Struthio camelus: one gene and its partners. The protein of the gene in region 1 interacts with the protein of each later gene in a pairwise test. Links are inferred from orthologs where the notes say so. Each region holds a gene or a part of one and is shown in the gene's direction. Other genes may lie near its edges.

Region 1 (7,684 bases):
ATAAATCTCTATTCAAAGAATAAAAAGAGAGGGAAGCTTGCCAGGTCAAAATGGACTCAGGAACACATTTCCAAAGGTATTTAGATGTTGACAGTAAACGAGTAGCTTTGAAAAACAAACCGAATAGGCAGGAAGGTGCCCAACTCCAGTTGAGATAAACCCCTGTCTCCAAGACCTCACTCCCTCAAAAGCTTATGTATCTGGGCTTTCATCTCACAAGCTCTTACAGCAAGTAATTTAAAGCATGAGTTGGCCATCATATTCAGGAGATCATTTAGGTGCTCAAGTTGCTCACATGAGTAGGAACTTGCAGAAAAAAAGGCAGTATTTAAGTACTTAAATAGTCCATAGGAAAGCACTGAAGTCGAAGGTCTCCATGAAGCTGAAGTGCAAGATTAGTTTAGAACATTACTTCAAGTTATGAAAGGTAAAAATCTTTCCAGCAATGAAAGTCCAGAGATTTTTTAATTTAAAGACTGTAAACAATGCACTTTAAGTATGCCTTCAATTGCTCATGCATTAACTAAATTTAACATGGAATTTTTGTATAACTATTTGCAATAAACTCAAAAGGAATTCATTAATAAAAATAACTTTGATATGCCAATACAGACACAGAGCACAACACAGAAATCAAAATATTCCGCTGTACAATACCTGTGCTTGATGAAACGCTACTTCTGAAATTTTGTATTGGTTTAGGAAAAGCTTAACGTAGTAGAAATTAAAGATACTGTTCATCATTCCAGCACCTAATGTAGTCATGGAATATGCCAGTGCATTAGGATGAATTCCCCAAACAAACTTCATTTCCAAATTGTGCAAGTCTCTTCTTTCTCTAGTTACAAAAGAAGAATTACAATCGTTGGTAGAAACATTTTCCAAAGCAAAAAGACATGGGAGATTTGCTTGTTTCAGAGAAGCGAAACTAGTGTCTTGGATGAGAATTTCCCCATCCTCAGTCACTTTTTTGTTAAACGCGCAACACATTTTACTGAGGTACGAGACACTGAGCACAAAACTGAACAGGTGTAAAAATTAAGCATGGCATTTCCCAATATAATCAGTCCTTAAAAAACAAAAGAACAAGTAGACAAAATGTCAAGAGCACATAAAGCAACTGGTGCACAGACCCAACACAAAAGTCTGCTACTGCAAGCACTAATCTTGAGGTAGAGTTCAAAGCAACTGCGTACATTTTACATCCTTCCTGCTAGCTACGTAGTTCTACAATTACAAAGAACTGGGTAGGAATGAAGTGACTCAATTCATATTCCTGTGTATTCCATTGTTATGAATGTCAAATTCAGCATGCGCTTAGATGAACATTTATTTTAAAATGAATTCAAAGCTTTGTCTTCCTATTTTCTAATGTTACTAGTTAACAAAAAGGAGCCCAAGTCATGGAAGCAATATTTTCAGCTAATAAACTAATGAAACTTACTTAAAGCAATCAAAATACCTTTTAAGAAACATTTTCGTACTGGAAGAGAACTTGTGTAAATAAAATCCAGAAAGTAACTCATATAGAGTAACACAGGATTTGGAGTATATCCAAATAACAGATTCAGCCCAAGGATATATAGTTCCTTAATATAGCAAACAGATCTTCAGCCAACAATTTTGTAACATGTTGGCTTTTTCCACATATCTAGCATTTAGCTGAAGTATGTTTAGTATAAACCCTCCAATGAAAATAGCTAGAGGTTCTGGAGAACCTCTACCTTTTAAAGCAGAGCAATGAGTACCTTTATGGTCCTTGACCAGATTTGATTCTCTAATCCCAACACGCCAATACTTCTCTTAGATACTCTGTCCTTAACTGAGCCTTTATTCATCTGTATATTTGTTCAAAAGAAACTGTCTGCCATAAATTCGGCTATTACTTCAGGTTCAAATCTCAACCTTAATTAAGGACACTAACTCCGAACTTTGCAGCCCGTGTCCCATCAATGGTCCACACTTCACTCTTGTGCGCTATACTAACAATTTTATCCTAAAAGCTATTTTTCAAATATTCATCAAAATACACGGTTTGAATATTTGATTGTTCAGCTTGATAAACAAATCTATTAGCAATTCCTTGAACTCCTCATAAAATGATCATGAAAGAAACAGGAAATGAAAAGCACGGCTGTTTCGAACCTTCCTGCTGCCTGTGGTTCACCAAGTGGCTGAAGACAGGCTGCTGTGAGGAAAACAGTAAATTCTTCATCACCAGGTGAGGGCCAGGCAACAGACAAAGCAGGGGACTGGAAAATTGTCTATTCTGGCTAAGGCAGAATATGGAACAGCAGTTCTTCCATTCCCTCCAACACAGAAAGTGAGGTATTTTAAGAGCGGTAAAACGAGGGTGTATTTTTGTACCTCTATTTAAGATGCTCAACTATGAAACAATAAGCAAAGAGGAAATAACTCCTCTTTACAAGTAAGGAAAAAAAATCAAGCTGAAAAACAACTTGATCAAAGTTTTTTTTTTTCCCTCTAAGGCCAACCTTTTCTTTTTTTTTTTTTTTAAGCACATGACTGAATTTGTATATACTTGAGAATGACAGTGATATATGTTTTCAAAGTTATTTTTCATGGAGCTATGGCTATAGCAGTATTTCCATGTCCAAGGGATGAAATTTTGCATTTTTGTAACAAGTTCTGTTTCATAAACTATTACCGAGAAACCTAAAATGGAAAATAAGGTTATTGAAACGATCCCCATTTAAAATGTTTATTTTAGAAGTATAATACTATAAATTGTGAGCGTCATTATAGAAGCGTGCTACTGACAAGCGCCGCATTTTAAAATGAAGGGCGTATTCAAGCCTTCACAACTACACTTAATGTAGTATTTAAGTAGCAGATTGGTGTAGCAGATACTAGGGCACTTGGAAAAGTAGGCATTTCGCACGTATTTCCTTGTGCAAGACAGCACGGGTTTCCCAACAGGAATTGTGGGCCCCTCGCCTCCCTCAAATTCCACGAGCACCAAGAAGAAACGTGCTTCGCGCTAGCTTTACCTGCAAACTAGTACTTCAAATTTTTCCTTCTTCCAATCACATTTGACTCAGTTCCTTCCTACACACAGATAAAAAAAAGGTCTCCTCAGCTTCAGAAAATTGTGAAGTAGTATTTCTTTCACAAAATCCTTCTCACAAGGGACAAACAGGCCTCGAGTGCCATGACTAACTGCAACGCACAGGACCTGACACAACGATTTACACTAATTGGCACATCTGGTCCTGTACTTTGTTTATGAAACAGGCTCAATTAGAAGTTGAGGTGCCACACTTCCTCTCCCAACAGACGTGCTCTTTTTAATTGTACAGCCGGGGGATCACGCACGACCATCCCCTCCCTCTTCCCAAGAGCCAGCCTTTATGTTGAACACGCTGAAGAGCAAAGCGCTGACATTCTGTGACTCAGAGAGGGCGAACCAATTTCGGGAATCTCTCACAGAAACCCAGCGCCCGGCGCCAGGAGGAGGGAGCGGGCAGGGCCGCGGGCCTCCGCCGCCCTGCCCCGCCGCGACGCCCTCCCGCAGCCCCGGCCAACGGGCTGCTCACAAACGCCTCCCTCCTCTCTCCTCCGTGACTCGAGCCGCGCTGAAGCAGAGCTAAGGAGAGTCAGGGCTTTCCTCGTCCCCAGCCGAAGGCTGCGGCAGCCGCAGGGGCGCCGCCGCCCTCACAGGCCGCGGGGCTGCACCTGGCCGCCGCGCTCGGAAACCTGCCGGGCTGGAACCGGGGCTGTTTCTCTGTGAAAACCGGGACTTTCCGCTGGGCGGCTTTCCGCTGGGCGGCTCCCTCCCCCTTGCAAGGGCAGGAGGCGCGGGGCGGAGGGCCGTTTGCCGGCGGGACACCCGCTGCAACTGGGGGGGGGGGGGAGAAGGGCATCGCGGGCGCTTCCCACGGCGCGCCCCGGGGACCCCCGTGCGGGGCGACCGGCACCTCCCCTACGCCCGGCCCCGCCCCGCCTGACCCACCCCCGGCCGTGCCAGCCCCGCTCCTCCCGGGACCCCACCCCGGAGAACGCCACAGAGCGCTCCCCCCGCCGTTAACCCCCTCCGCGGCGGCGGCGCCGCCGCCGCCCCTTCCACAGGGTCTAACCGACCTCCTCCGACGGGAGGCTGCGTAGCCCGCTCCCGGGGCGGGGCATCATCAACTTAGGCCCACCTCCTCCCCATTCTCACTGGCGGTTCGATCCGTATTCGCCTGATGATTGGCCCACGCTCCTTTCGATCCGCCCGGCGAGCGGCTCCCCATTGGCTGCCCGCGGGGGAGGTCAGGCCGTTCCGTTTGAATCGCGGGGAGGCGGTGGGCGGCCGGCCGGCCGGCCGGCCGGGCGTAGCTGCCACGTTGCTGCCGGCGGCTCCGCGCAGCCCGGCCAGAAGGGGGAGCGGTTCGGCAAAGTCCGGAAACGCTCGGCAATGGCCGGAGGCGGCTTTTAAGGAGCGGCGCGGCGCGGCTGCCGGCTCGCTCTGCCTCGCTCCGCTGTCGCTGGGCGCGAGGGGGCTCGTTAGCGCCAGCGCCGCCGCCCCGCCCTGCCCCGCCTCGTCCCCATCGCCGTCCTCCGGCGGCGCCGGCAGGGGAAGGGGCGCGATGCTGGCCGACAGCCTGGTGGAGGAGTTCGAGATCCGCGAGGATGAGCCCTGGTACGACCAGCAGGACCTGCAGCAAGGTGAGGCGGGCGGCGGCGAGGCGCAGGGCGGCGGCGGGCGCCGACCCCGGCGAGGGGCGGGCGCGGCGGGAAGGGCGTGAGGGGCCGAAGGCGCCGGCGAGGGGCGGCGGCGGGAGCGGAGCTCGAGCCGCCTCGCGGCCGGCGGGAGCGCGGCGTCCCCCGGCGCCCCGGCAGCGGTGAAGCCCGCGGCCGTCTTTGTTCGACGGGGCGGGAGCGCGGCCGCCCCCTTCCCGCCCGCCCGTCCTCCCTCGGCGGCGGGCGCGGCCGGCGGGGCTGCACCGGGCCGGGCCGAGGGGCGCGCCGCGGCACCTGCTGACCGCCGCTGCCCTCGCTTACTTGCCCGTCTCCTACCAAAAATCCTCTTGAGGACGGGGTGGGGGGGGGGGTGGTGGGAAATCCTAAGAAAAGCGCCATTTCGCGTCCGAGCGCCCGGGCGGCGTGCCGCTCCGCCGCGGCGGGAGGAAGGTCGCAGGCAGGCGGCAGGTCCGCTCGGGCTGCGAGTCTGCCACGGACGCCGGGTGCCAGACCCGCAGCTGGGCTTAGCCCTCTTTAGAACTGGTATTTACTTAGTTCTACCTCTTTTTTCCTCTGTATTATTATTATTTTTTTTAAATCCTGAGGTAAGTTGGAGTGGCCAGCTCGGAGCCCTGGCGTGGCTTCCTTCAGACCTGCTCCAGACCTACGCTTTTGGCTCTTGCGCTGAAGTTCAGGCTGATTCTTGGGGTTGGTGGGCGCTATTGTACTCTCAACCATAAAGAAAGATACTTTTTAAAGCTCGCTCCGGTTGAGCAGTTCTCACACTGAGATCAAACAACAGCGGAAACTTCCCGAGACGGGAATAGGTCTCTAATTGTATGTTTTGACTGTAACGTAGCTAACTTTGGAAGCTCTGTTTAGGTGCTCTTTGCTCAAAACTGATGTTTCCCTGGCTATGGTTTATACACCAATTGATTTAAATAAGATTCTGCAACAATAGTTTGCTGCTGAAGGGAAGAGCTGAAAATCTGAAGGTGTGATTTAGCGATGTTTACTATGTCAGTTATTTATTGAGTAGAAAGAAGACCTACGAACAGACTTCAGTGTAATGCATAGTGACTACTTGCCTTATTTACGCTCCTTTAATTCATTTTAATAATAAAGTGAGTGAAATAATCACCATTTGCGCTTGTAAGAGGCAGTATTCCATTCTAGAAGTTCGTCCCTTTTGAGGGTTAGTTAATTAATTTTCTATCAACATTCAGTCTTTTTCTGAGGATTATCTCCTTACAAGCCTAGACGGAAGTGACTAATAGCCTTGCCAAAAGGGAAAGGAGAAAAACGAACTGAAGGGCAAGTTAAAACGCAAAGATGACGACTTAAGGGAATGTCTTTGAAGTGTTCTTTATGCTACGCTCCTGGAGTTTGAAAGATGCTCTTCATCGTGCTGAAAGTACGCAGTACTGACGTCTCTGCACAGAGTAGCAAGAATGCTTATCAAGGTGTCTCTACGCTTTTCACAACTTAATCAGTGCACATTTAAAAACTGAAGAGTATGTTTGTGAGGAAATCTACAGTGTTAAGCATATAAAAGCCACCTCCAAACAAGCCTGTAGTCCCTGTCCGTCTTTGAAATCTAAAATTCGGGGAGGGTTTTGGCCGAACTTTTGACAGTCTTTGTATATGCTGGAAGCTTTTCCCTTGACAATGGGCTTTTCTGGCATTTTGTTCCTGAAAATGGAATACTCCTGGCGTTCTCTAAGGATGGGAACAGCCATCCCTCCTCCTGTAAGGTCATATTTTGCTGCGGTATGCTGACCTTTGAGAAAGAATTCTCTTATGGCTGCTCGTTTACATCTTGCTGTTTTTCACTTTAATATCAACAAAACAGTGGGTTATCTGAACACAGAGTGAGGAATAGCTCAGTAAAATAAGGGCTTACTTCTACACTTAAGTGAACTTCAACAGACTGACTTATGTATCTTACACTACCAATGCCTTCTGCTATTGGAAAGAATAGGATTACTTTGCATTGAGAGTTCTCCGAATCATTTTGTTAGGGGAGTCATGAAAAAGTGGAAGAGAAGCATCTTGGTACTGTTTTAATCTTTCTTTCCCAATTATAGTAACGCTGTCGGTAGAGAATGTGGAGGAGCGTTGATGAATGATGGCTGTTTAACACCATGGGCATATCATCCAAATCTTGTTTTGATTTGGGGATTTCAGATGGAACAGTTGACTACGAGGAGTAGGACTGATTTACTAAAATCAAGCTCTTAAAATTTGCACCTACGTGCAGCACAGAGGCTTTTAAGAATGCAAACTGTATCTTCATGGTGAAGAACAAAGGCACCTGGGTGTCTGTTATGCGACTTCAACACATAGCTGTTAGTTTACTGAAGTTTGCAACAGAAAATGCAGTGTGCTTCTAATATGGTACAGCAACTCTTAGAGAGGTGTAAGTTAACTTTTTCCTTCTGTATCTGGAGAACAGATGATATATTCTATGCCTGACTTTTAAAATTTGCAGTTTCAAAAGAAAAAATGCATCTTGTGCACTCTCCTTGGCAATGCCTAGTTGTGCTATGCTTTAAATGGCCAAATTTCACTCTACGTGAACTCAAAGACTAAACGTAGGCACACAACAATTCTGTGGTTTATTTAAGATCAGAAGAAGCAAATCACTAATTCATACATTAATAGCCTGAGAGTTTAAAAAAAAAAAAAAAACTACTGGACACTTTCAGTTTGCACTGACTTCACTGGGGTATATAGGTACTTAATGTAGAAAAATGAATACAAAGCAAATTCTTCATTTTAGAACAGGTCAGATTGTTTCAGTCCTTGCTTCCTCTAAGGACAGGAGTTCGAGTTTTACTGCATGCTCCTGAGCTCTTTAGCTTGTCTTCTCCCTCTCAGAAACAAATTGCCTTAATTACAAAACAGCATGCTTCTCCCATAACAACTCACTTGTGCTTCTGCCCTTCTAATGAACAGAATGAGTGTGTAAGTACAATGACATGAATTCTATTGTTCACGT
Region 2 (8,541 bases), on another chromosome or scaffold:
GAGGGGTCTCAGCATTTGGGGTATATATCAAAAAGTCACAAGTGAATGCTGTGATGTGAAAGCCACATACAATTTGTTTTTGGGGTGGCTCAAGGCAAATGTCACTCAGGAGTGAGTGGCTGGTGGGGAGTACACTGCATGCCAATGAGATGTCAGCAGTGGAGGCAAGTGACTACTTGCATGACACTCAAGAGACAGATGAGAGACACCAATGGTAAGATTATCCTCATCTTCTGCAGTGTGAGGTGGGATACCAGCTGTACAAAATTGGTAGTTTATTTTGTACTGCTAAGGGTGATCCAATACTGGTAAGACCAGTATTGAAGGTGTTTGGCAAATGAGACACAGATTTTGGGAAAAGAAAGAGGGATCTCATGGTCAAAGCAGTTAATTTCTGCCAGAATAACGGGCTGCTAAGTGTGCCCATGTGAGATGATGAAAACGTTGCTCAAACTGAATTTTTCATAGGTGGTTGCTACCTTTTAGTGGTTGTCCCAGAGGTCTGACACGAAAAAGTACCACGCACTCGCAACTGCAATCAAAGTCAGTCACAGTGCTTTGAGCATATTGAGTGCTACAGAACACAAAGTATGTTGAAACATCCTGGGCATCTCAAACTTAGCACTTCAATGTCTTAGCTCTTCATCTGTCAAAATTTATCAAATACACAACAGCTGGAAATAGCAAACTATTGAACAGCTATTTGTTAGGCAAGTAATGTACGCCTTAGGCAATGAATTAACCAAGGGTCCTGGGACTGTCTTTTACCTCGTCTTAGCTCAAACGCATCTTAACCAAGCTTGTTATGCTGTGCAACGCTGGTATCTCAGACCTCAAACAAGATAGCTGAGCCTGTGCATCACTTCAAGGACTCAGATTATGCTCTCCAGATAAACCCACCCCTTCAGAGTTATTGCCAAGGTCAACACAGTGCTGCACAGCACTATGTAGTTCTAGCCTGAGAAATCACATGACAATGTCAAGAAAGAAAGACTGACATCTTGCTCTCCCAACAACTTCCTTTCACTAATGTATGAGATAGGAGTGGAAAGAGAAAGACAGGAAACATTTATTACAAGAATAGTAATAAAACTTTGGCGGCTACTAATGAAGCTGAATTGTTCTGAAAATCTGAAGTATTCATTTTACATAACAGGCCTTGGAATAATTTAGTATGCACCTAATTTACCTGCATGTGCATTTACAGTCCACTTGCCTCTCTGCATCTTCCAAAGTATGCAGAAGAAATCTTTGACCCTTCCTCAGTGGCTGTTCTCTGGAATACAGACCACTGCTAAGGCATATATAAGGAAGGGCAGAGACCCTACCTTGATGTACTTACAATCTAAATTAGTAAATAAATAATGCTAGGCCATTGTTTAAAGAAAGACGGGTGAGACAATGAGAAAAAGTGAGGAAGTAAAATATACAGATCTTAGGGAAGTGTAGCTGGGAAAGCAATTTCCGTGTATAGATTTGCTTCTAATATTTCTTACCACATATTTTTTTTATTTCCTGAAATAACCAAGCACAGCAAGAGTAATAGCATATATCTGAAACTGCTTTTACTGCAAGGGGATCCAGAAAGAGCAGGTTTTTTAATCCTTTGGTTTAAAAAACACAAGGCTATAAGGACCATTGCACATGACAAGATTAGGTTGCAGTGTGTTTATAAGAAAAGTTGCCCTTTTGTCTAAGAACAAGTAACCAGTCTATGGAGTCTTGAAAATTGCCATTTTTCTTGGAAGAAAAACTGAAATTTGAACCACGTACTTCTTTGATGCATGACTATTTATTTATACAGAATGCACATAAAAATCTGTCTTGGTGAACACAGAAGAAATTAAGTAGCAGGAGGTAGTTTCTTTGCTCATAATCACAAGCCCTTTTCTAGCTAGGTTTCTACCCAAAACCATCTCTCACTTTTTTCCTAGGGGTCCCAAAAGTGCTTCTGTGGGAAGTGGAAGTGTCTCACACACTTCTCAGTATGCTTCTGCAGTGCTGCTGCTTCTTGTCTATCACATATGCTCAAAAAATGTGCTGACAACTTTTCCCACGTAAGCACCTTCATCCACACTGCTCACATTTATCAAGCTACTAAACGAACTTGATTGTTTTTACAGTTATCCTGAATGAAGCACAGTTGTATATCCAAAAGTTTCAAGAGGCTTCAGCAACCAGCCCCACCATCATGTAATAAAATAATCAAGAATGACAGTGGAACTTGTGTCATGGCTGTACTTATCTTTTGGATAGTAGGCCTCAAGAAAAGAAAATACTTCCCAGGGATAAGCAGAAATGCATGAAGTATACCAGATGTAATCCATTTTAATGAAAGACAAGTAGCAATTAGCTTTTCTCCGTAAGACTAGCTTTAATGGCAACTTTTTGCTCAAAAGATATTATATTCATCTACAGGGATCCTTTGCTGCAATCTTTTTCTGTCCCTACCATCATGACGCCACTCACTTTCTACAATTCCGTCTTTTTGGGTAGACAAGATGTCTCTATTTTGTAATATAAAAAACACAGGGATGTATCACAACCTTTGTTTATACTTTATGAAGTAACAGTGGTTTCACCTCATGTTTCTTTCTGTATAGGCCAACATTAAGAGAAACTGGTATCAACGACCTCTGAGCAAAACTATCCCAGAGGAACAGCAACAGAGGACTCAGATATAGTTTACTTGAATTATACCAAGTTCATTTTCACTACGGTATGTGTTACAGCAGCACCTAGTCAAGACAGAAGTCCTAATTGTCTAGTCATCAAGTAATTACAGGGACCGTCCTGGATATCACAGAGTTTAAATATCATGCCATAGTTCACAGCTTCAGTCAAAATTTTGCTATTTCTTCTTTGGCCATCCTTTAGCAATTATACTTCTCTCGAGTTTGTACACACAAATGGAAAACAGAAAACATAAACCATTCCCAAAGAGCAGCCTTAGGCAGGACTCAAACCAACCAAAGCAAGTGCTGGTCCAATAGCTCTGATTATCTTGCTGCTAATGTGAATCTGTCATTTTAAATTAAACAAGTTACCAAATTTGTATGTAGAGCAAGTTAGCACAAGGAGGCAAAGCTTCACTGAAATCAGTGGGTTTGTCAGTATTAAATTTGGTCCATTTTCTCAATTTCAGGATGGTTAGGCAGAAGCAATGAGTCATCAGTCCCACAAACTCAAATTTCTATGTGAGACACACATGCGAGAACAGTAATTAGGCAAAAAATATGTAAGCATACTATTATGAAAGCAAACTATTACTCAGGGGAATTCAGGGTTATTCTGTAGAATTTCATTATTTAGGAGATGAAGGCTGTTAGAAGTAGGTCATGACACAGAAATACTTAGTTTTCCAGAGTGACAGTAAAAGATGCTGCTTTTTTTTCCTTTACGGCAAAGATAGAAGATTGTAGAATAGATAGTATACAAAGATAGTAGACTATCTCACAACAATACTGTTTCTACCCTGGTTTTACATAAAGCAGTAAGAACCGGGCCTTGACTCCATTACATATTTGTATAGACTTTATTCCTGAGAAATACACAACTAACTTCTGTATGAGTGATAGAGATTAAAAGGCAACATAGCCTTTCAGAGATTAAGCTGACGAGTGTATATACTCTAACAATATATGAAAAAAGAACTAAAGGTTACAGAGGAAAAAAAAGATCTAGTAGTGAATAATACGAGAAAGAAGCTATTAGAATAAAGACATACACAGTAAAATACTAAGAAAAGGGAAGTAGAATTCTCTTCAGAGTGCCATCAGGCAGACCTGAAAAAGTTTATTCATGCAAGCAACTAAACACTCATGCAAAGCAGGTCCAGCTCCAAACAGATTCCTGGAAAGTTTTCCATACCCCCATAATTGCAATATCAATACAAAACATCTAAATACTTCGGCAATTACATGATCCACCGGTTCACTCAAATAAAAAGACTATTCTCCCTTTTTTAAATGGTGTCCTGCTGCTGCTAAATCCCACATCAGCACTGCCTTCCTCGGTTGTCACAACAGCCAACCGCCTGTTGCTAAGGTGGTTAAGCTCTCACTCCTGTTTTCCAGCCTTTGCGTTAGCTTTCAGTTATGACAAATACCGGAACTACAGAGAGAAAACAAGAGTCTGGTTCTTTTTTAGGGTTTTTTGATTTGCTTTTACATTTATAGCCCTAAAAGGGGAATGACTGTTCCTTTGGAATTACACTGTTTGTCTGTTTTGCTCCCTGTGCAAATAAAGGTCTCAGTGGGGCGTTTTCCCTGGAAATCAGGAGAGGCTGCAGGTGGGCTGGCCGAGCCGGACACTGACAGCACCCAGGAACACACAAACGTTTGGCACCAGCCCTCACTCAGCTCAACCAGCCTTTGAGGACCACTTCCCTCACATCCCTGCAAGCTTAGCAGGACACCACAGAGGCCTCTCAGCGCCACTGTGCAACCCCCTCAGTTAAAAGCAGGCCCAACTCCCTCCAATTTCTTTTCACGGACGCCCCAGAAGAGCTACAAAGGAGGGGAAAGAATATACCCGGCGAAAACAATCCCCCCTCGCCCAAGAGGCATGTCTACGCGGCCACCAGAGCCGGAGACAGCGAGGACAGCGCCCACCCCACAGCCCAACCGCCAACGGTCCCCCAAGCGCCAACGGTCCGCTCAAGCGCCCGCGCCGCGCAGGCGCGCTGCCCGCGCGCTGCCCCGCGCGGCCGGGGGGCGTGGCGGGGGCGGGCGGCGGCGGCGGCCGGATGTTGTTGTTGTTGTTCCTGCCCCGCCCTCCCCTGCCCTCCCCTCCCCTCCCCCCGCGGAGGGTGACGGGCGCTTCCTCGCCCGCCGCCGCCGCTCGCCCTGCCGCGGCTCCCGCTCCGCCGCTCGCCCCCGGCCCCGGCGCGTCCCCGCCGGCCCCCTCCTTCCGGCCTCGGCGGCCGGCTCCGTCACGCCGCGCCGCGCTGCCCCGGCCCCTCTGCCTCTCCGCGGGCGCCCGGGCCCGGCCATGGCGGACTTCGACGAGATCTACGAGGAGGAGGAGGACGAGGAGCGGGCGCTGGAGGAGCAACTCCTGAAGTACTCGCCCGACCCGGTGGTGGTGCGCGGCTCCGGCCATGTCACCGTGTAAGGGCCGCGCCGGGGCCTGCGCGGCCGGGGCCGGGCGGCGGAGGAGGCCGGGGAAGGAGCGGGGGCGGGTGGCGAGCTGGGCCGCGGGCGGCGACCGGGGCAGCCGGAGCGCCGAGCTGACGCCGAAAAGTTGGGGCAAGTCGGGGAGGGGTGTTGGGGGTCGGGCCGGCCCTGCGCCCCCCTCGGCCCTTCTGCCCCGGTGCCCGCGTTGCCCCGCGCCGTGGGGCTGCGGGCGGGCTCTCCTCGGTGCCGCCCGGGGCTCGCTCTGGAGCGCAAACCTCCAGCGAGGTGATGAGGAAACAACGCTGGCTTGGGCTGTGACTAACAGAGGAATGTAAAGTATTTGCTCGAAATGATGAGCTGTCAGGAAGTAGAGTACATCGTGTGTGTGTGTTTATACATGTGAATATATATATATAATATATATAAATGGTATGTGTCTGTACATGACCGGCCTGTGCTGTCGCTTAGGGTTGTTTATATCTCAGTTACTCAGGCCCATTTAACATGTGGCAACTAATACAACTCTGAAGACTTTTTACAATAAAAAGGAGTGTGCGAGTTGAATAGGTACATCTAAAACGATGTTAAGATAAACGTTGTGTCAGTAAGTTTAACATGGGAGTTGCCTTGAGTTTTGGTTAGTGAACATTTGGTGTTTCCAAGGAGGTAGCAGCAAGGGACAAGTGAGTTAATGTAGTCTTTCTTGAGAACTTAATAAGTCAGGGTATTTTTCCTGCAGTCAGTTCTGTTGGGATCTCTGTACTTAAGTGTAGCAGTTGTCAGTTATGATGAACAGTTTCAGAGGCTAGAATATCAGCCTGGTGACACAAAGCACTCATGCAAGCTTCCTTTTTTATATTCACTGTAGAGCAGGATTCAACTTGTGACAAACAGACAAACACATAGAAGTTGAAGGTATCCTATTCTGTCCTCCGGATTCACATGAACTATACTGGTTGTGGGATACAGATCTGTTCAGAAATCTGAAGTTAAATTTAGACTAGGAACTTTCTAACCTTGCTAATTTAATATTTGGTTGGCATTATGAAATACCAGCTACCAGGCAGTACAGTTTATCTGGTTAAGAATAGGGAATAAGACATGGTATGATGCTGAGAGAGGTTTGGAGGGTTGGAAGGATGTTGAATGGAGAGGAACCTGCATAAAGTAACAGAAGCAGGTAGCTGAACTGTCAAACATAATGATTTTGTACTGTAGTTTATGGAGATCAGACGTTGCTACCATCCAGTAGCTGTTTGACTTCTTTGAAAGTAAACCTGTAGCCTTACTCAGTTTCTGCTGAGCGGATCAAAAACGTAGTTAGATAGTTGTCTTGTTGGCAATCAAATAAGTGTAAAGAACTGAAATGGAGGCAAACACTAATTTCTTCTCCAGTCCTTAGAGGTAACCCATGCGAGGCAAGATCAAGGCCCATTAGTGGAAGCACAAGGAAGCTTGCGTAGCCTATCCATGCCTAGTAAGGAGCTTGTAGTTGCTTCATTAATTATTCAGTAATGTTCATTTGGTTGTTACTTTTAAGATCTTCCTCAAAATATTAGTTCTTTAGCTTTTGGACAAGCAATGAAATATGAACATGTGCTTCCAAGATTGTGTATTTGATCTTCATCTACTCTATTGTGCCAGCCACTTTTACCTTTGCGAAGCTTCTGATTTTTTCGTCATTGGTTAAGTGGCTTATTAAATTTAGATCACTTTCAGAACACTCACTAGATGAATTTAAGGAATAGGTCAAATCCTATATATAGAATTAATTTGTCTTGCTTGGTGTAAAAACATGTATGCATTTTTTAAGGTCTTAAAAAATTATCAGTGGTAAAGTAAAGCAAATATCAAATCCAGTAACAATACCAGATCTCTCCCTGACTCTGCGGTTTAAAGAGCTGCTGACTGCCTCTGCTGCATATATATTTAAACATAAGCTGCTTCTTCATAATCTATTGTCATATCCTCTCTGATCTTGCACAGAAGTCATAATGTTGAGTTTGAAATGTGTCATTTCCTCAACTGCAGAAAAAGCGTTTACTGTTACTTGATTGCATCCAACAGACAGTGGAAGTGTGTGAGAGTCCTTTCTAAGCCTAGTAGTTAAAAGCAGTCAAGGGAATGCAGGTAAATACTATCCAAATAGAATATGTGAAGACCTCTTTCCAGGATGTGGGGCTATTTTTTGCGCTGAGAGCTAGATTCTTAAAGTCACTGTTTTAGAATTGTTTGGCATGTTCAAACTTCTTTTTTTTTTTTAAACACAGTTTTTCAAATATTCAGGTAAACAGTTTTCACACCAGCAGACTTTAGATAGCTTGGTACACAGGAATAATATTTGAAGTGGTCGCTGGTTACTTGAGGTTATCTCTTTTAATGGCAAGAACCTTAAAACTTGAGAAACTGTAAAACATTATTTACGTTCCTTAATTGAAAATCCAAGGTATTTTGGACTTATTTGTAAAAACATGTTTGTGCGGAAAGAGACATATGTGCTGGGTTTGAAATTGCTAATAGGATATTATGGTAGGCTGTGTGGTTGTATTTTCAGAGGCTGTTTTCCTGGGCTTTTCTGGTTTTGACCAGTTGAGGTGTGTCTTGTATATACCAGACTGTTAGGTACTAAAGTTGGGTTTATGAGTGTTTTGCGGTACCAGCGTGATGCAGAGCAGTCATGATGTACTAGTAAACACCCTTCTGTGCAGTTATCAGCTTAGTGCATTACGTGCAATGTAAAGTAACTGTTTGGAGGGAAAAAAAATCACAAAATACATGTTCACCCAAGACAGTTCCTTTATTATTAACTTAAGTCTGCTTATGTATTTTTGCAGCTTATGTTGAATCGAGGACATATGAGTGAAAACAGGACTGTGGAAGAGTTATGGATGGACAGTGTTAAGGATTGATGGAATATATATCTTTTCTAAGGGCTGTGAACATGCAGAACTAAAGGGCCAAGTTGAGAGCAATGGGAAAATGGTTTAGTCCCCATTAGATAGGACGAAGGGGAAGAGGATTGTTTGTGTGTCGGTTTTATGAGTTAGGAAGATCAAAGCTGCAGGCTGAGAAGAGGTTGCAGGTTGACTGATTCTATACTGTAATCTTCTATACTTCAAAGATTCCACTTCTCATCATTTCTCTCTCTCCACTGTATACAAGGGCAGGAACTCAGATGAACCTTTCAAGCAGAGACATGTTCAAGAAACACTTTTTCAGGTTCCAGGAAGGTTAAAGAAAGTACTCATGCATGAGGTGAGCATGGATCTGTTGAGGACGTAATGTCAAATGGGAAAGGCATAGGGCAGGCAGAAAAATGTATGTGTCGCTGAAGATGGAGGATTGTGCAATAGAAATCTAGCGCTAGATGAGGACAGCTGTCTGAGGAAATGCAGTTCTGAAGTGTCATTGGTATAATGTGCTT
Region 3 (8,252 bases), on another chromosome or scaffold:
AAAGTAACCTAATGAAGTGATCAGCGTTCCCCTAGACACCACAACTCATACTCTTGCACACACGCATTATTTTGTATTACAGTCTGTTAAATTTATAGAAACCGTGCAGATACATTATACCTGCTCTGGAAAGCATTATTTTGAACTTCTTGACTAGAGAAGATTATGCAGGAAGAGTGAGTTACACAGCCACAAGCCTGAGCTTGCTTGGTCTCTGCAAAAAACCAGAAATTGTATGCAAAAACCTGGAGGTCTTTTGCTGGAGCTTGGCTATGCTGCAAATCATATCACACTTAACCATCATAACATACAGTAGCTGTCAGCACTCCCCAAGACAAAAAAAAACAGTAGTTAAATATGTAAAATACGTAAAATGTAAAATAGTATGTAAAATAACGATCAGGCAAGAATGACCACAGCTACTGAGGAAACAAAACTGTATAAAGTCCTCCAAGTTTGTACATATGCTTGTACTACACCAATATTCCAGAGATTTCTAAAGAAGGCAACTCAACTTGCAGGTCACGTTCAGCCCACTAAAACAACAGTCCATCTAGTCAACAGCCCACCTCCTGCAGCTCCTAGGTGATATTAAGAGGGCTGGCTGCAAGTCAGATGGGTTGTTCTCGCAGAGATGACAGCTTGCTGCCTGTTACCCTCTCTCCTACAAGCATGTTAGGCTTCCATCATATCACCATGTCTGCACATAAATCAGTGTATTGTACATCACTCTCTGAGCACATGCAGAACGACTGCCTAGAAGTAGCAAGTTTGACATTGCAAAGAAACCATTATCTTATGGCTTGTGCACGGGAGTTGGATTCTGCACAAATGCAGCAAATCTAGTGCATCCCAGGATGCACTAGACGTACTTTGTATGTGCACTACCCTATAAAGAAAAGCAAAGGCCACAGTGTATCTGTTTAGACATAAAAAATTAGCATTGATGCGCTAAAGGAAAACAGACTAAAAACAAGACAGAGCGTTTTTCTGGTAAGTCACCACATTTTAAATGGAACGAAGGTAGAAAAGAATGAGTTGGATACAGAGTTTATTACCTTAGAGATGAACTGCAATGTTTACAGGTTCATACATACCCCCCGCTCCTTCCAGTCCGGAAAAAGTTCTTCTAAGGACCGTGGCTCAAGACAAGCACCAGAAAGTGTATGTGCACCAATCTGAGCGGCTTTTTCCACCAGACAAACACGTACTTCTTTGCCATGCTCAGTGGCTAACTGTTTGAGTCGAATAGCTGCAGAAAGACCCGCAGGGCCTCCTCCGACTATGACAACATCAGCTTCCTCTGCAAATCTTTCCATGTTTACTCCTTCAATAGGACAACAGATGATAAAACAAATGGATCTCCAGTTTCTCCTGCCCTCTCTCTCACTAAATCTTGCTTTGCGATACTGCTACCAGGTAACGCAGTAACATCACCTTGCATAAAAGAAGGCCAAATATTCAACAGAATGCTCACTTCAGTACTTGGAAGAGGGTAGAAGGACATTAGTATTCATTTTGTCAATGTACAATCAACTCTTTGTAAGTTGTAAGAAGATATACCATAAAAACATATTCAATCTGTATACACTGTAGGTAAGTATCAGCAATGTTAAAAATAAGAGCCTGGTTGCCTAGCTGTATCAAAGATACTTGGTGAAACTCTAGGAAGAGAGAAAGAAAAGAAAAAAAATCTTTAGTCAGAACAAGTTATTTTATTTTACTCTAGTTAATCAGCTACTGTTATGGAATTGAAGACATTAAAATTGCTGAATATATAGACTGGAATGGCCAGAGATATATATTCCTCTTATTTTGTCACAAACTTTCATGGCGAGAGCAACTGAAAAATCCAAAAAATACAGACCTGACTGAATTCAATCTTGTTGTGATAGTCACCCAAGTAAAAAGAATTTATAAACTTTTTTGACGTAACTAGAATCCAGTCAAATCTGACCTGATTTTATAGTGCTCAACACAATCGTTGTGAGATAGCAACCGTAAAATTTCATTTGGGATATTAGTACTGTACTTAACAGAATATAATTTCTGTAAAAAGAAAAAATCGGCAACACACTTCAGTGTTGTTAAAATTGAGTAATAACAATAAAAAGATGCTTTTAAAACACATGTTTTCACTTACCTTCCCATCGTTTGTCTTTGTCCCGAGGATGAATAGTATAATGCGTAGTTATACGAGGCACAGAGGTAGTAGATGCACATGCTGCAATATGCAGTGATGGAAGGCAGTCTCTCTTTAACAACTTTAAAACATGAAAACACAGACGTGCTGCAAAAACAAAAAACAGATTCACCAAATCATTAGCTTTCCAAAGTTTTCTATATTTCAGAGACACAATGGCACAACAAATACGACAGCCCCTTAAAAGGCTGCCAGGTCAAATGAAGATGAGGAAGCGTATAAATAGATTTTTAGTTATTCAGCAACTAGGACTGTGCATGTGTAATTTTAAATTTAAAAAATAAATAAAAAATAGAGAGCTTTCCCTTTAAGTGAATAGCACTCAAGGAATAAGTACACCAGCCAACCAATTCTGACAGCTGGCATACCACAGCATGCACGTACAAAGGAAAAAGACATTCTAAGTTCCTACGTCATTTTGAACATCAAAAGATTTATTGAAGACATCATTAAAAAGGACTAAACAACTGTAGAGAGAGGACATACAAGTTCATCCCTTTTGCAATCTCAACACATGTTCAGACACACAGCTTGGGCTGCTGATTCTAAGCAGCTGATCTAAAATAAATGTCACCATCTACAGTAAAAGCCAAGACTTAAACAAATATACTTTAGCAAGGCTAGAAATAGATACAGGTAATAAAGACACGCAATCTTTACCTTTGCTACAGAAACATTAATAGTTGCCACAACAAATTATGCATTCTCTTAAGTCTCAAATAAGCAAAATAAGACAAAAGGGCATGTTACATGCTTGTTCTAATTTCCGTCTTTCACAAAAAAAAAATCATGTTTTGGAGCTGTATGTGATCTGTTCTCAGAGAGCTAGTAAGTGTAGCACCAAAACTAGTTATAGTTACAAGATTTGTCAAGTAACGCACACTAAGTGGTATTTTCCCTTCCATTATGGATTCCCTTAGTCTAATTTCAGGGCAGAGAGGGAGAATACTATATTTGAAACACAGTATTTCTGCAAAACCACATAAGCAAAACCACCAACATACTGATGTTCGCTGATGTGTTTCATTGCCAACGGTGATTAACAAGGCCACCACAAACATCCTCCATCATAATTACATAGTGATAGTCGGGGTACTGGTCTCCATATGCAAGGTAATAATAAACGGACATAGATAATACTTTTAGGTTAACAGCAATTTTGCACATAACAAACATAACATAAACATTATTACTATAAGTAACAAGTAATTCTTATCACGACTCACAAGTACCCTTCACCTGCACAGCTAGGTAAAGCTGTGTAAGCTGGACAGCTTCAAATAATGGATCTGAGAACAAGCAATGTGTTTTATACGTAGGATAATAACTACACCAATATACATTAAAACACAATACCATAACTTCATTTCTGAGCTATTTTATTTGAGCAAGACCGATAGCACTATGAGTTACACAGTACTGCTGCTTGGCAAAAATAAAAAGTGAAATTGACTTAGGAATATGTTTAATAAACACAAAGGCAGGTCCAAACTCTGCAACGGCACCTGAACAGACATACTCTTTTCACCCAACGACCTGGAACCTGGGCGACTGTGTTACTGCAGAGCTGAGAGCTTACGGACTTGGCAGTTCGCATACGTGCAGCAATGAACAGTGAGTACGAAGCGGTGCAAACAATCGCTAAGAAAAGAGCAAAAACTCGCTCCCACGAAGTTCTTTGACAACCGCCGCCAAGGCATTACTTCTACGATTATTACCTCGATAACGACGTACATCCAATTACCTTACCCTTTAAAACACGCTACACCTAGCAAAGATCGCTGCAAAACAGACAGCTCTTTACAGCGCCGCGTTACATTTTAACACCAGACACAGCACGTTAACAAAATACACCGGTAGCCCAACCCTTGCAGGTGCTTACTGCGTAGTTTCACCCTCGGAAGCACATTTAAACCAGCAGAGACCGCAGAGACCGCTCCGACGAGGAGGGAGCAGCTGCTGCGGGACAGCCGCCCCCCAGCGCCCCCGAAACCTCCCCACAGGCGATGCCGGTGGGGCGCCCCCCACCCCCGCGCAGGCGCCGCGGCCCGGAGCGGCCGGTGGCGCCGCGGCCGCGCCGACCTTTGCCCTAATTCCGCGCCAGCTGCCGCCCCCGCCCCAGGTCGCCGTGCCCCGCCGCGGCCCGCTGCCCCGCCGCGAGCCGGCACGTTACCTCGGCTGGAGGACGGGCAGACAGGCGGCAGCATGACGGCGGCAGCTCTCCACTCTCCCCTCAGCGCTCGCACCTCCTCTCCACCGCGCCCACCCCACCCCGGCTCCCCTCGGCCCCGCCGCGCCTGCGCACTCGGCTGCCTGCCGGGCGACACACGCCCCGTCCCGCCCCACCCGCGCTGCCAGGACTACAGCTCCCAGGGCTCCCCGCGCGAGGCGCCGGCGGGACATACCACGCATGCGCCTGGCCACCACGGCCCGCGGAGGAACGCTTGCCCTGGTCTGATATTTAAACGCAGGCACATGGAGATGGCGACGCGCTGGTTTACACATTTTTTGCGCCGTGTGCGCTACAAACAAGACCAAGCGCTAGCTAACAACCCAGGCGGGCACCACGGGAAGAAAGACTACCGTTCCCGGCGTGCAGCGCGGCGCCCATAATTCCAAGCGGCGCTGTGCAGCACCGCCCCGTTCCCCCGTCGCACGCCCTGCCTGGTCTCGCCGCAGTGCCTGCCGGGATACCCGCGAGCCTTTCCCCGGAGCCGTTGGGGCGGGGCGGGGCGGGGCGGGGCGAGCGTTGCAGCGCGCGGAGCCGTTGGGCGGGCCGGGCGGCAGCGGCGCGGAGCATGGCCGAGGCAGGACCGCTGCAGCCCACAGCGCTCCCGGAGGGCCCGCCCGCCGCCGGGCCCAGGAGGAGCCGCAGCTGGAGCAGGGGGGCGCGGCCGCCGGAGCAGCTCGCTGGCGACCCGCAGGAGCTGCTGGAGGAGGTGGAGATGCAGATCGGCGACGTGAGTGACGCCGCGGCGGGAAGCGCTGGGAAGGGGGCCCGGGCGGCGGTAACGGCGGCTCCGGTCCCTGCAGCCCGGCCTCCTCGCTCCTGCCCGGCTCCGGCCGAGGCCTCCCCGCTGCCGCGGCACTGGGAAAGCGGGGCGCCAGCGAGTTGTCAAGCCGGGAGCCCTTTCCGGGTGCGTCTCGGCGCGTATTGCTGACCCCCAACCTCTCGCTCTGTCCTCTAGGCTGCCTTCTCGCTGACAAAGATCCTGGAGGCGACGTCTGCTGTATCAGCCCAGGTGGAAGAGCTTGCGACCAAATGTTCTGAAAATGCCAGATTTCTTAAGACATGGCGGGACCTGCTGAAGGAGGGGTATGATTCCCTGAAACCCAGCGAGTAGCTGGGCCGTCATGGAAAAAGTGGGAACTTCTGCTGCCTGATGAGGGATGTTGAGAGGGGAGTCATCCCACAGTATTTACCTTTTGCTGACCGTGCCTTGTGACAGTAGAGCTTGATTGGCATCATACCACGTTGTCTGCTTATATTAGACTTGAATGTGTTACTGCACACTGTGCCTAGTTTTTTTTTTAAAACAACTTTTTTAGCGATTTCACATGGTGAGTTTATTTTTTCATCAACAACTCATTTTGAGCTAGAAGAGAGTTCTTTGGAAAATACTTGTATGTGTACCAAAACTATGTATAAGTTTCTGAGTAAAATAACTTTGTTCAGGGGAGTTATCAGTTGTAACTCTTGGACTCCTCCTTTGCAGCTCAGGTGATCTCATATGTGAAAGAACTTTCATTTTTTGCTAATATAATGGAGACAAAGTTAACTTGTAAGGTACATCTAGAACTCACCAGCTGTGGGGGGGAGTGGTAGCCCATGAAAATATAGTCAGCCATCCTTTTAAGAACTTTGACTGTGCTAGAAGAAGCCCTCTTAGCTCCAGGGAAACTTGTCAAACTAATTTTTCTTTGTGCATGCTTTTTCTTCAGGTTGAGGATGGGATAATATGGCTAGTGAAGTCTTATTTAAGAGCTATAGATAAGCCACCCTATCCCAAATCTTACTATTTTAGGCAGTATTGCAATATATTTCTATAAAGATGCATTTGTTTTACAAACAGTTTGATAATTGGAAACATGTTACGCCAGACTTTTTGTAATAAATACAAAGTGCCTTATGCATTGACCTTAGATATATGTTTGGTAGAAATTTAACTGTGTTGCTTACTGATAGGATGGATTATTTGGAATTATTAATACAAGCTTCCTTCAGTTAGAATAAGTGTTTGTAAACTGTATTCTCTCATCTCTGGGGCAGCAGCTTGTTCTGTTTTTGGCCTATTGTATGTCCTGCCTCAAGCAGTAACTAATTAATTAATCTAGTTTGTACTATAAACAGGACCTTTTGGTCTGAAAGATCACTAATCTGTAATAAATAGTTGCATTGAAACTTCTGTATCCCTTACCAGAGTAATGTGAAAAAATAATGCTGAAATGCAAGGGGAAGCTTCAGGAGAATGTGGCTGTACCGTGACTTGTAGCAAGCCTAATTGTCACTGGTAGGAGGATTTTTAAAAGACAAACCGTAGTTTTGTTATCAAAAGAATAAAGATGTTACACCAAATTAGGAACTAACTAATATTCTTAAGGTACTGGTAGGAAACAAAAAAATACTGAATACATCCATAATCAACTTCAAGTGAAAACAGAAGTAGTGGTAAGGACAGGTGTCCTTAACATTCCTTATAAAAAGCAGTTATTGTCATTGAGAATGCTGAGCTTCTATGATAATTAAAAGGGCAATCCACATTGCAGGAATTCACTGAGCTATTTTTTCCAGTACCCTAAACAACTTGGAAAAGAAGTCACTTTGATCAGCAGATCATCCTTTATTGAAATAAAATATACAGTAGTGGAAACAAGATGCTCAACAAATTTTGATTTCAAGATGATCCAAAATTCTGTAAACAGTTAAAGTGTGAGTCACACTAAGTTTTAATTCAGCTTCTTACATACTTAAGAAGTTAAGTGCAAATACTAGAAGTAACTTTTAACTTTCTTTTAAAGAACTTCAAGATCATCAATGCAGAAGAGGCATTTCTTTTTCTTGGGCTGCTAGGCCATTGGACTGAGTGTGGTATTAGAGGAGAACTAAGGAAGTCATAGTAATTGGTAGTGGAAAATGTTCTTTTCAGTAAATAAGTGAATAAATTGCCTCCGTTTGTGTCCTTATACCTTCTTCTATGTACAAAGATGATTGTTTTAGGTGAGGTAAAATGATTTTACCTTGTAACACTGGGGAGTACAGTACTACTCAAGTGCTCAATGATTGCATTCCCTAAATTATTTTAACCATAATGCATTCAATTTGATGCACAAGGTGATTAAAACTTAGATGGCATGACAACTATTAAGACTGATAGGCCTCTATTTGTCAGTCTCTCACTTGGTTTGAGAGGTGGAGGAGGAATAAAAAGAGACTTAACTTTTCATCCTGATCAAGGATGAGTTGTCAAAAGGTCAGGAACTGTTGCAAGACGAAAAAATTATTTTTGTATCAGTTCTCCCTGCAAGTAGACACATTGATCTACTTTCTTCCTGCTTTGACTGCTGGTTCTGGTGAGTCAGTGTGTCCCCTCCCTTGTTATTTTCCTCATTGCTATAAAGCAGTAAATCCACGTATGTGAAGGTTCATAATGTGTTTATGTGTATGAATTTAGTCTGGTTGACTGTGTAGTCACTGATGCCTCAGAGGAGTCTGTACAAAGAACAGGCTTCGATAGCTTTGGTGTGATTTCATGCATTGGCCACATCTCTATCCAAATGAATGATGGACCATATGTTTTTTGACTGCCTTTGCTTCTTTTGGATCTTCTTTGTCTGTAATTATACCAGACCTGATGAATCATTTCTTTGAAAGGTCGTGTAGTCAGAGTGTAGAGAAGAGGATTCAAAGCACTGTTTATGGGTAGTATAAAAATCACCACCCAAGAAGTTATGGTACCTTAAGGAGGGGAAGAAAAAAAAAAGGAAGCTGTAATAGGTAGTAGTGTTTGTACCCGTTAGTCAATACAAGCACTTCATGCTGATGCGATGC
Region 4 (7,871 bases), on another chromosome or scaffold:
AACTGCAGTACTAGAATTCCAGGTACAATTCCAGGAACAGCATCATAAACAGAAGCTCACTAAACATTGTTTTGCTGAATAAACATGAAAAACAGGATTAAAATACCAAGTCACAGCAAAGAAAACCCACCAGAGCTAAATAGTTCGTTCTGTTTACGTACATGGCTCAAAACAGCCAAGATGTACATGTCTATAGTCAGCTCACTTGTGTCACTGGAAGAGGGCTGGAGGAAAAGGAAAAATGGAAAACTAAATTCACAGCAATTATTTCTAGGAGAAGAAAAACTTTGTTAGGCACCAGTCCAGGGACTGGAAATAAATTTGACATGAATAGACACAGCCCACCTTTCAAAGGCGTATTTGCTCGTTGAATAACTACATCTTCTGCAATTATCTTACCTCTACATCCTGCTTGTTAGCTAACACCAGAATAGGAACCCCTTCCAGAGCTTCGCTAGTGACCATCTTCTCTATAAAGCACAAAAATAAAAAACGAGAGAGGTTTAGCTAATTCTAGAAGACCAAGTTGTGCAAATGCTTGACACAAATTATCTGAACATAGGGAGGAAGCAAGAGGCACTTCCTTGTGCTAGTTTGATTTGATCCAAACTTTCAGGACTGCATTCATCACAGTATCTTTTTTCAGATCAAGTTCAAACTTTTATTTTGATCAACAAGCACTTTACTAAGAATTAACTAAATACAGAATAAGAAATGAAAGTTCTGAAAGAATTAACATAAGCAGAAAAAGAGCCTCAAGGTCTTTATAGGCAATGAAACTGACGATTATCTTACGGACAAGACAGACCATACTCTTAAATAGCTCACTGATTTCACTGCTTTCACCTCAGAAACGCAGCCACGTATCATGCAAAGGTTCAAAAGCGCTACAGACATGCCATCAACAGAACACAGCTTATACTTCAAGTACACAGGAAGAGACACGATTGTAATGAAAGAACTGTGACACAATACATCAGGAAACCACAGTACTGATAACACAGCATACTCACCAAACGCTCTTTTAGATTCCGAGAGCCTCTCCTCATCAGTGGAGTCAATAACATAGATCACTCCATGAGACTCGGCATAATACTGGAATGGTAACAGATATTAGTGTACTTAACGGCTAAGACTATCTCCTCCTCATACCCTTTTTTTTATCCGTATGGAAGAGAGAACCAGTTGGAGCTAGCTGTTTCCATAATATTTGTCTGGAGAGAAGAATGGTGGCATGCAAAATGCATTGCCTGTCCTATTTGCAGGTCTGTTGAATAAAATAGGTGAAGAAGTTTATCTGCGTACTCCTTTTCTAACCCAAGTGATTGCAGGCAGAATTTGATGTTTTTTAAGCCTGATAAGACATACTACTCAACTGTGCAGTTGAAGTGATTGATAACAGGATAGCAGGAATGCATGTCTTGATCAAACAATGAAGTCAAGGGCACAGGTAGCATGCTTGGTTGGCCTGCGAGCATATTGCTTTAATATTCTTTGCCGGACATCTGGATGCTGCATACTGTGCTCAGGGTTTCTAATAACGCTGCAGTTAACGTACCTACAAAACACCATGCAGCTGGGCAGACTGTACCCTCTGCTCGACAAGAACAGATAATACAGAGGGAGACAAGTGTTGATATTGGTATATACTTTGCTTCTGTGCGGTACTGTAAAAGCCTTGGAAGTGCTGAGCCCAGAAACACATCTCAGCTCTTACCTTCCTGCTTTCATCAATGTTCTCCTTCCCTTGCCCTGATTTGCTGTACAAAACAGCCCAGAGAACTTGAAATCATATTTCATTTTAGTTAGAACTAGACTGTAGCTTTTATTTGAGCTAGCCAAGATCTCTTTTAAAGTCCCTCTGTAACTTTGGGTAAGGAAGTTACCACTGATATGACCTTATTACATACAAACGATAAAACTGGCACAGTCCTCCCACAGAGGCTGACAATTAGTTTCTGTAAACAATAATGCAGATGTTAAGCATCATCTTTGCAAATCTTGCACGGATAAAATTGAATCTCTGGAAAAGTATTAATGCTAAATACCTGGGTTACCAGTAAGCCTGTATGAGTACTAAATGATCATATTTCTCCAATTGTGAAAGAGGTATCAGAACATTTATAAAAGAAAAATTACTTCCCCAACCTTGTCCCAAAGAGACTGTAGCTCCTCCTGCCCTCCAAGATCCCAGAACATCAGTCGAGTTTTGCCAACATCAATAGTACCAACTAGAGGGAAAGAAAAATTCAATCCAATGAAAACTGACTGCGTGCTCTAAAGGATCACGCCTACACAATGCCCCTAAGTAGGGATGGAACAGTCTTCTACAGGAGCAAATCACATATAGTACTACTTATAACAAGAGAACAATACCTTAGAAAATAGTGGCCATAAGATTGGGAAGAGTCACATCAGCATAAACAGGATGAGAATCAGCCCGTGAACTCCAAAGAAACTTAGTTTAACTTCTAAGCACAGCACTGAAAGGTGACACACAACTCTTAAAACTTCAGGGTTTTTTCTTCAACAGCTAAGCAAGCCAATTTATTCTCTCAGAAGAAGTATATAGGGAGCGAGGAGATAAGATCCCTATTTCCAGGAACCACTTTGCCCTTGTCAATTCTTCTTAAACATTTCAAGGAAGAAATAACTGTTCTCTAACTTTACAGGAAAGGTGGAAAATTTTCCAGGTGGATTTACTTACTGTTTAAGCCTACAGTGGTTGTGATTTTGGACAAACTCATCCCTTTGTAGTTTTTGTTAAATCGAGTTTTAGTTTGTTCAAGGAAGGTCTGAAAAGGAATAAGAAAGAGTAACTACTCTCAAACATTGTACTGGCATGTATCCAGTAATCTTAACAAAAACCTGCCTTTTCCTTACGGCAGAATCTTGTCCCAGTAGCTACTGCCCTCTCTAACCTTGGAACAAACCACTCCTCTTGTTCCCTATTTCAGCAAAGAAAGAAGAGATCCCAGGTGATTACGGGATTATCAAAGTCTCAGCGTAAGCTTTCAGGGATATAGCTAAGTTTAAATACAGGGAGAGGAGTTGACTCTTGGGGGCAATATCCCTAAAATATCCTGTCACGAGTTAGACTGACCTGCCTCTTGGAAGTTTTGCCTTTGGAGAATAGGAATGTTTACAATTGCACGTGCCCTCCACGTAATTGGTAATTAACAGCACTTACTGTTTTACCAGCATTGTCCAAACCAAGGATCAAGACGCAGTACTCATCCCTCTGGAACATGTATTTATAGAGTCCAGATAACAGAGTATACATCCTGCTCCTGCAACAAATGCCAAGAAATTATTAATAAATGGGTCACTCCCAGAAGTCTTTCATTCCACAATGCAAGTTTTTCCAACATCAGAGAAGTAAGTGGCATTATTCTTTTATCAGTAACTCTCATATTTAGATAACTCCAGGACAAATCATAGATCCAAGTCCACGGGAGAAAAAAAAAAAAAATCAAGTTTTCAAATGCATATAAGTAGGGGGTCATCTTATGTAGAGCTTATCCCTGTTTATGCACATGGCCAAATTTTGATAGTGCATATCATCCAGTGCAAACCCACTACTCATTTGAAAATGCTCCTGTCTGTTCCAAGGCTTAAAGGGGATCTGAATGTTCTTGAAAGTCTTTCAGAGTACATACATGGTCCACAGAATGAAATCAATTGCATACAAATACACAGAATGGGTATTTGGAGCAAGAACACGCTCTATACGACTGTATCATTGGCTCTTTAATGGTCAAACTGACAGAGTATCTTACTTTTAAAGGCTTGTAAAAAAGACTAGCTATATTAACGTATGCCTTCTCCAGCAACAGCCTTCTGTTCCACGATTCACAATTCAAGTATTTTATCATCTTGCAATACCATGAAGAGAAGACCGGTGACTAGCCAAAAGCACAAGACCGAAAATAAGACTAAGTGACAGCCCCTGGCCATGCACGTACTCTTTTGTTGGATTTGCACAAACAAGGCAGAGAAGATTTGCTAAGATGCAGGAAGTCTCGGTACCAAGCACCACAGCCGGCTCCCTTAGCATTACAACCACCCTTCAGTTTAAACAGACCGGGGGAACCTCAAGGCAACAACTCTGAGAAGCCGCTGCCGTGCAGCGAGCGTGCAGATAAATAATCGTTTTGAAATGCAATAACGTTGCCTGAGGGGTAGAAAAAAAGAAAAAAAAAAAAAAAGACTTCCAGCCTCAGCACGGCAGGTTTCCCAGGCTGGACCGCAGCCAGGGCCAGGCCGGGAGGCCCGACGCGGCCGGCGAGCACGGACCCTTCCCCTCCGGCTGCGCAAGAGGAGCCGGAACCGGCCCCGGCCTCGGCCCCCGCGGCCCTTACGGCCGCCACGGGCCCGGCGCGGCCTCGGGCCAGGACAGGCCTCCCTCCACCGGGGCCCGGCCCGAGCCCCGTCGCAGCCGGGCCTAGCAGCGCCTCGCAGAGCTGCCATCAGACACGGCAGGGTCCCCGCTCCTCCCCCCCACCCCGAGCGCTGAGCACGGAGCCCGAGACCCGCGGCCCCTCACCGGACACCGGAGACACCTCCCGGCCCCCCGCGCCTCAGCGCTCCCCTTCGGCACCGGCCGCCGGCTTCCCCCCCCCCCCCCTTCCGCGCGGCACCCTGGGAAATGTAGTTCTCGCCCCGCGGTCAGAGCGGCGCGACACCCCTCAGGAGGACTGCGACTCCCAGAATGCCTAGCGCCCTCACGGCCACAGCCTGCGCCGGCGCGGTAGGGGAAGTCTCCTAGCCGAAACGGCGTAACGCGTCGGCTAGAGGGGCCGGAAGTGGGGTGGCGTGGAGGACCGGAAGTCGGCGGGGTGTCATGGCGGTGCCCCGGGAGGAAGGGGAGAGCTGGGGGGTGAGTGAGGCGGGCGGGCGGGCGGCCGGCCGGGGCCGGCGGCGGGCGGCGGGCGGCGGTGGCGGCGCTGATGGCCGTGGCTCTGGGCCAGCGCTGAGCGCCCGGGCCGGGCTGACCCGGGCCAGGCGCCCTTGCCGCAGGGCGGCGGCCGGCGGTAACGCGCCGTTCAATGTCCCTCGCTGCAGGCGCCTCGTCGGGCCTCCTCAGGGGGAAGCAGCAGGACGGCGGGCTAGGCGGTGGCGGCTGCGGACGAAGACCTGCTGATCGCTTTACGTGACCTGCTTGAATGTGTTCTGCGTTCCCAGAAAGGACACGGTTAGAGACGCCTTCGTTGTGCTGATAATGGACGAGGAGAGTCTGGAGGCAGCCATTCACACCTACAGCGCCCAGCTGCAGCAAGTAGAGCTGGCCTTAGGGGCCGGCCTCGACCCGTCCCAGCAAACGGACTTGGTTCAGTTGCAGGAAGACTTAAAGCAGCTGATAGAGCTGACTGAATCTAGCCTGGTGTCTATTAAAAAAAGCAAACTTCTTGCAACCTTAGATACAAACGCATCCTCCTCCTCTCCTGCAGGTCCCCTAGAGCAGGAGGCCAACCTAGACAGCTCTGCCCAAGATGAGGAATATGCTGCTTTTAAGGAAGCCATTGGTGAGCTTGGAACTGAGGACAAACCTTCAGCTGCTGATCATGAGATATCATCAAAGAGAGATGAAGAAACTGATGAGAAAAGTGAATCTAAGTACAGTGAAGAGGAGGATGAGTCTGACAGAGAGGAAGAGGAGGAGGAATTGAGTGGGATGAAGGTTAAAGCCCCGTACTACAGTGCTTGGGGGACCCTGGAGTACCATAATGCCATGATTGTGGGCACAGAATACTTAGAAGATGGCAGTGCAGGAGTCAGAGTTCTGTATCTCTATCCAACTCACAAGTCTTTGAAGCCGTGTCCATTCTTCTTGGATGACAAGTGCAGATTTAAAGAGAACTGTCGGTAAAAAAGGGATGGGAGGGAGTTTGTGGCCTTCTTGTTGCTAAAGGCCTTGGCATGCAAGGGAAGAGACTGCTCTAAAAGTGCTGTGTTTGGCTTTTGTACTAGATGGAATTTTGCCAAATATATGTAATTTTTTCTGTTTTTAAAATATGACGTGGTAAATTGGCATCAAACAGTTTGACTGCTTTCTTCAGGTAACGCAGAGGTGAAATGGAAATTCCCATGACAAAATGCAGATGTTTTACCTACTCCATTGCGTAGCTAAACTAATAATTGATTAAGATGTTAAAAAAAGAAAAGTTAGTCTGTAGATAGCACATACATACAGGTTACAGAGAGAAATTGTGGTGTCTCCATCTTAGGAGATTTTCAAAACTTAACTAGATAAGGCCCTGAGCAACCTGATCTGTCAATGAGGCCAGTCCTGCTTCAAGCACTTCCAGTGTGGACTAGAGACCTACGTTTCTGTGTGATCCTCTTTATCGAAGGATCTGTGAAATTTTTTACTGGGTACATCACTAGCAAAAAAAGCTTAATGCTCTGGGATAGAATGCGTTGTCAGATGGCACAAATAATATCTTTAAGATGAAAACTGAAGACTGTCTTGTGTAGTCGAAATAGCGTGTGATAAGACTTTGATAATTATCAGCGAAGATTCAGTAGTGCTGATAACTTGTCACATTTTCTTTCGTGAGGGAAGGAATTTTTATTTAAACCCTTTTCAAGTGGTGTGGATATAGTTCTTCTTTCACCGTTCCTGGCAGGTTTTCTCACGGGCAAGTGGTGTCTGTGGAAGAGCTTCAGCCGTTTCAGGAGCCCGATCTGAGCACTCTGGAGGTGGGCTCGGCCTGCCTGGCAAAACACAGTGATGGAATATGGTATACTGCAAAAATAACTGGTGAGTCTTGTTTTAGTGTGTTTTGCCAGGCTGCTGCATGGAGGATGAACACGGACACTTCAGTGAAATAAAAAAGTTGATTGTTTTGGTTGATGATAGAAAAAAGCTGACCAGGTTTTTACATGCCTAAACTGAACGTTTTGAAATAGCTGAGGAAAATATTCTGAGTTTTGTAGGGCTTGGGATGGGAAGAGGCTAGAAAACAGGAGAACATTAGACAAGAAGGCAACCCAGGAGCAGGAATGTGAGGTTAAAAAAAACTTCGTAGTCATTAGCTGAACTGGTAGGGGAGAGACAGGTATTGCAGGAACTTGCATGAATACTGGAATTGCAATAATCTGTTCTTGTTTAAAGAAAAGCCAGGGGAGCTGGCCTTGCCTGTCAGTTGCTGATACAGGCTCCTCTGTGTCCTGGACAGGGTAGGGGTTTATTCCCGCTTTCCTGCTTTCTTTGACTGTTGCTAGGTCTGAAGGAACAAATCTGCCTTCTCTTTAATTCAATTTCTCAGCAGCCCATCTTTCATCACTTTTAGAAATAGACCTCTAAGTATCAACACAGAAACTGGAAATAGCTCTTCATTGCAGCATATAATTCTCCCTTCTAGACCGAAATCTCAAGCAAAAAAGAATTCAGAGGTTTTTTTTTTTAAACACATGTTCCCTGGGCCTTCCTCCTCTCCCACTGAAGGTAACTGTTCTGTAGAAAGCCCTCTTACCCGTTGCGTATTGCACACTTGAACTCCTGTCCATTGCTTTTCCTTCTGTAGATATCGACAGTGGCTACTACACTGTGAAGTTTGATTCCCTGCTGCTAAAGGAAGCCGTTGTAGAAGGAGATGGTATCATTCCTCCATTACGAAGTGAAGATGGCGCCTCCTCTGTTGAATCTGATGAAGACAGTGTTGATGATTCTGGCTACGCTAAAGGTAGAGAGTGGGGAGGGCCTAAGCAAAAACGGCCTGTGATCTAGGCTACCTCCTCTCTGGGACCTAATGAGTTACTCTCTTGGCTTGCGGCTTTCATCACAAGTGTCTCATTTCTGATGAAGGAGTAGATAATCTTTTTATATGTTGCTGGAAGATAGCAGAGAACATTACATATCTGTTATG

Evidence for each region.
Region 2: the proteins of CDR2 (region 1) and CHIC2 interact in binary tests that used the Homo sapiens proteins (3 or more experiments, as listed by UniProt). The link is inferred for Struthio camelus from reciprocal best matches to the Homo sapiens genes CDR2 and CHIC2.
Region 3: the proteins of CDR2 (region 1) and C4H4orf46 interact in binary tests that used the Homo sapiens proteins (3 or more experiments, as listed by UniProt). The two-hybrid records come from large-scale screens. The link is inferred for Struthio camelus from reciprocal best matches to the Homo sapiens genes CDR2 and C4orf46.
Region 4: the proteins of CDR2 (region 1) and ZGPAT interact in binary tests that used the Homo sapiens proteins (3 or more experiments, as listed by UniProt). The two-hybrid records come from large-scale screens. The link is inferred for Struthio camelus from reciprocal best matches to the Homo sapiens genes CDR2 and ZGPAT.

What each region holds. Positions count from the first base shown.
Region 1 is NC_090956.1:9,339,666-9,347,349, forward strand, and holds the start of CDR2 (cerebellar degeneration-related protein 2), read left to right. Parts: upstream 1-4,205; coding exon 4,206-4,668; intron 4,669-7,684. Other genes in the region: transmembrane protein 180-like, read right to left, coding at 658-810.
Region 2 is NC_090945.1:57,012,277-57,020,817, forward strand, and holds the start of CHIC2 (cysteine-rich hydrophobic domain-containing protein 2), read left to right. Parts: upstream 1-4,880; 5' UTR 4,881-4,992; coding exon 4,993-5,111; intron 5,112-8,541.
Region 3 is NC_090945.1:41,088,124-41,096,375, reverse strand, and holds C4H4orf46 (renal cancer differentiation gene 1 protein), read left to right. Parts: upstream 1-4,938; 5' UTR 4,939-5,001; coding exon 5,002-5,163; intron 5,164-5,391; coding exon 5,392-5,547; 3' UTR 5,548-7,857; downstream 7,858-8,252. Other genes in the region: ETFDH (electron transfer flavoprotein-ubiquinone oxidoreductase, mitochondrial), read right to left, coding at 1,098-1,327, 2,144-2,290, 4,377-4,410; RXFP1 (relaxin receptor 1), read right to left, coding at 7,858-8,159.
Region 4 is NC_090959.1:17,914,663-17,922,533, reverse strand, and holds the start of ZGPAT (zinc finger CCCH-type with G patch domain-containing protein), read left to right. Parts: upstream 1-4,744; 5' UTR 4,745-4,879; intron 4,880-5,064; 5' UTR 5,065-5,221; coding exon 5,222-5,865; intron 5,866-6,629; coding exon 6,630-6,763; intron 6,764-7,529; coding exon 7,530-7,688; intron 7,689-7,871. Other genes in the region: ARFRP1 (ADP-ribosylation factor-related protein 1), read right to left, coding at 400-470, 1,014-1,095, 2,149-2,231, 2,708-2,795, 3,191-3,283. UniProt on the Homo sapiens protein: Transcription repressor that specifically binds the 5'-GGAG[GA]A[GA]A-3' consensus sequence. Represses transcription by recruiting the chromatin multiprotein complex NuRD to target promoters.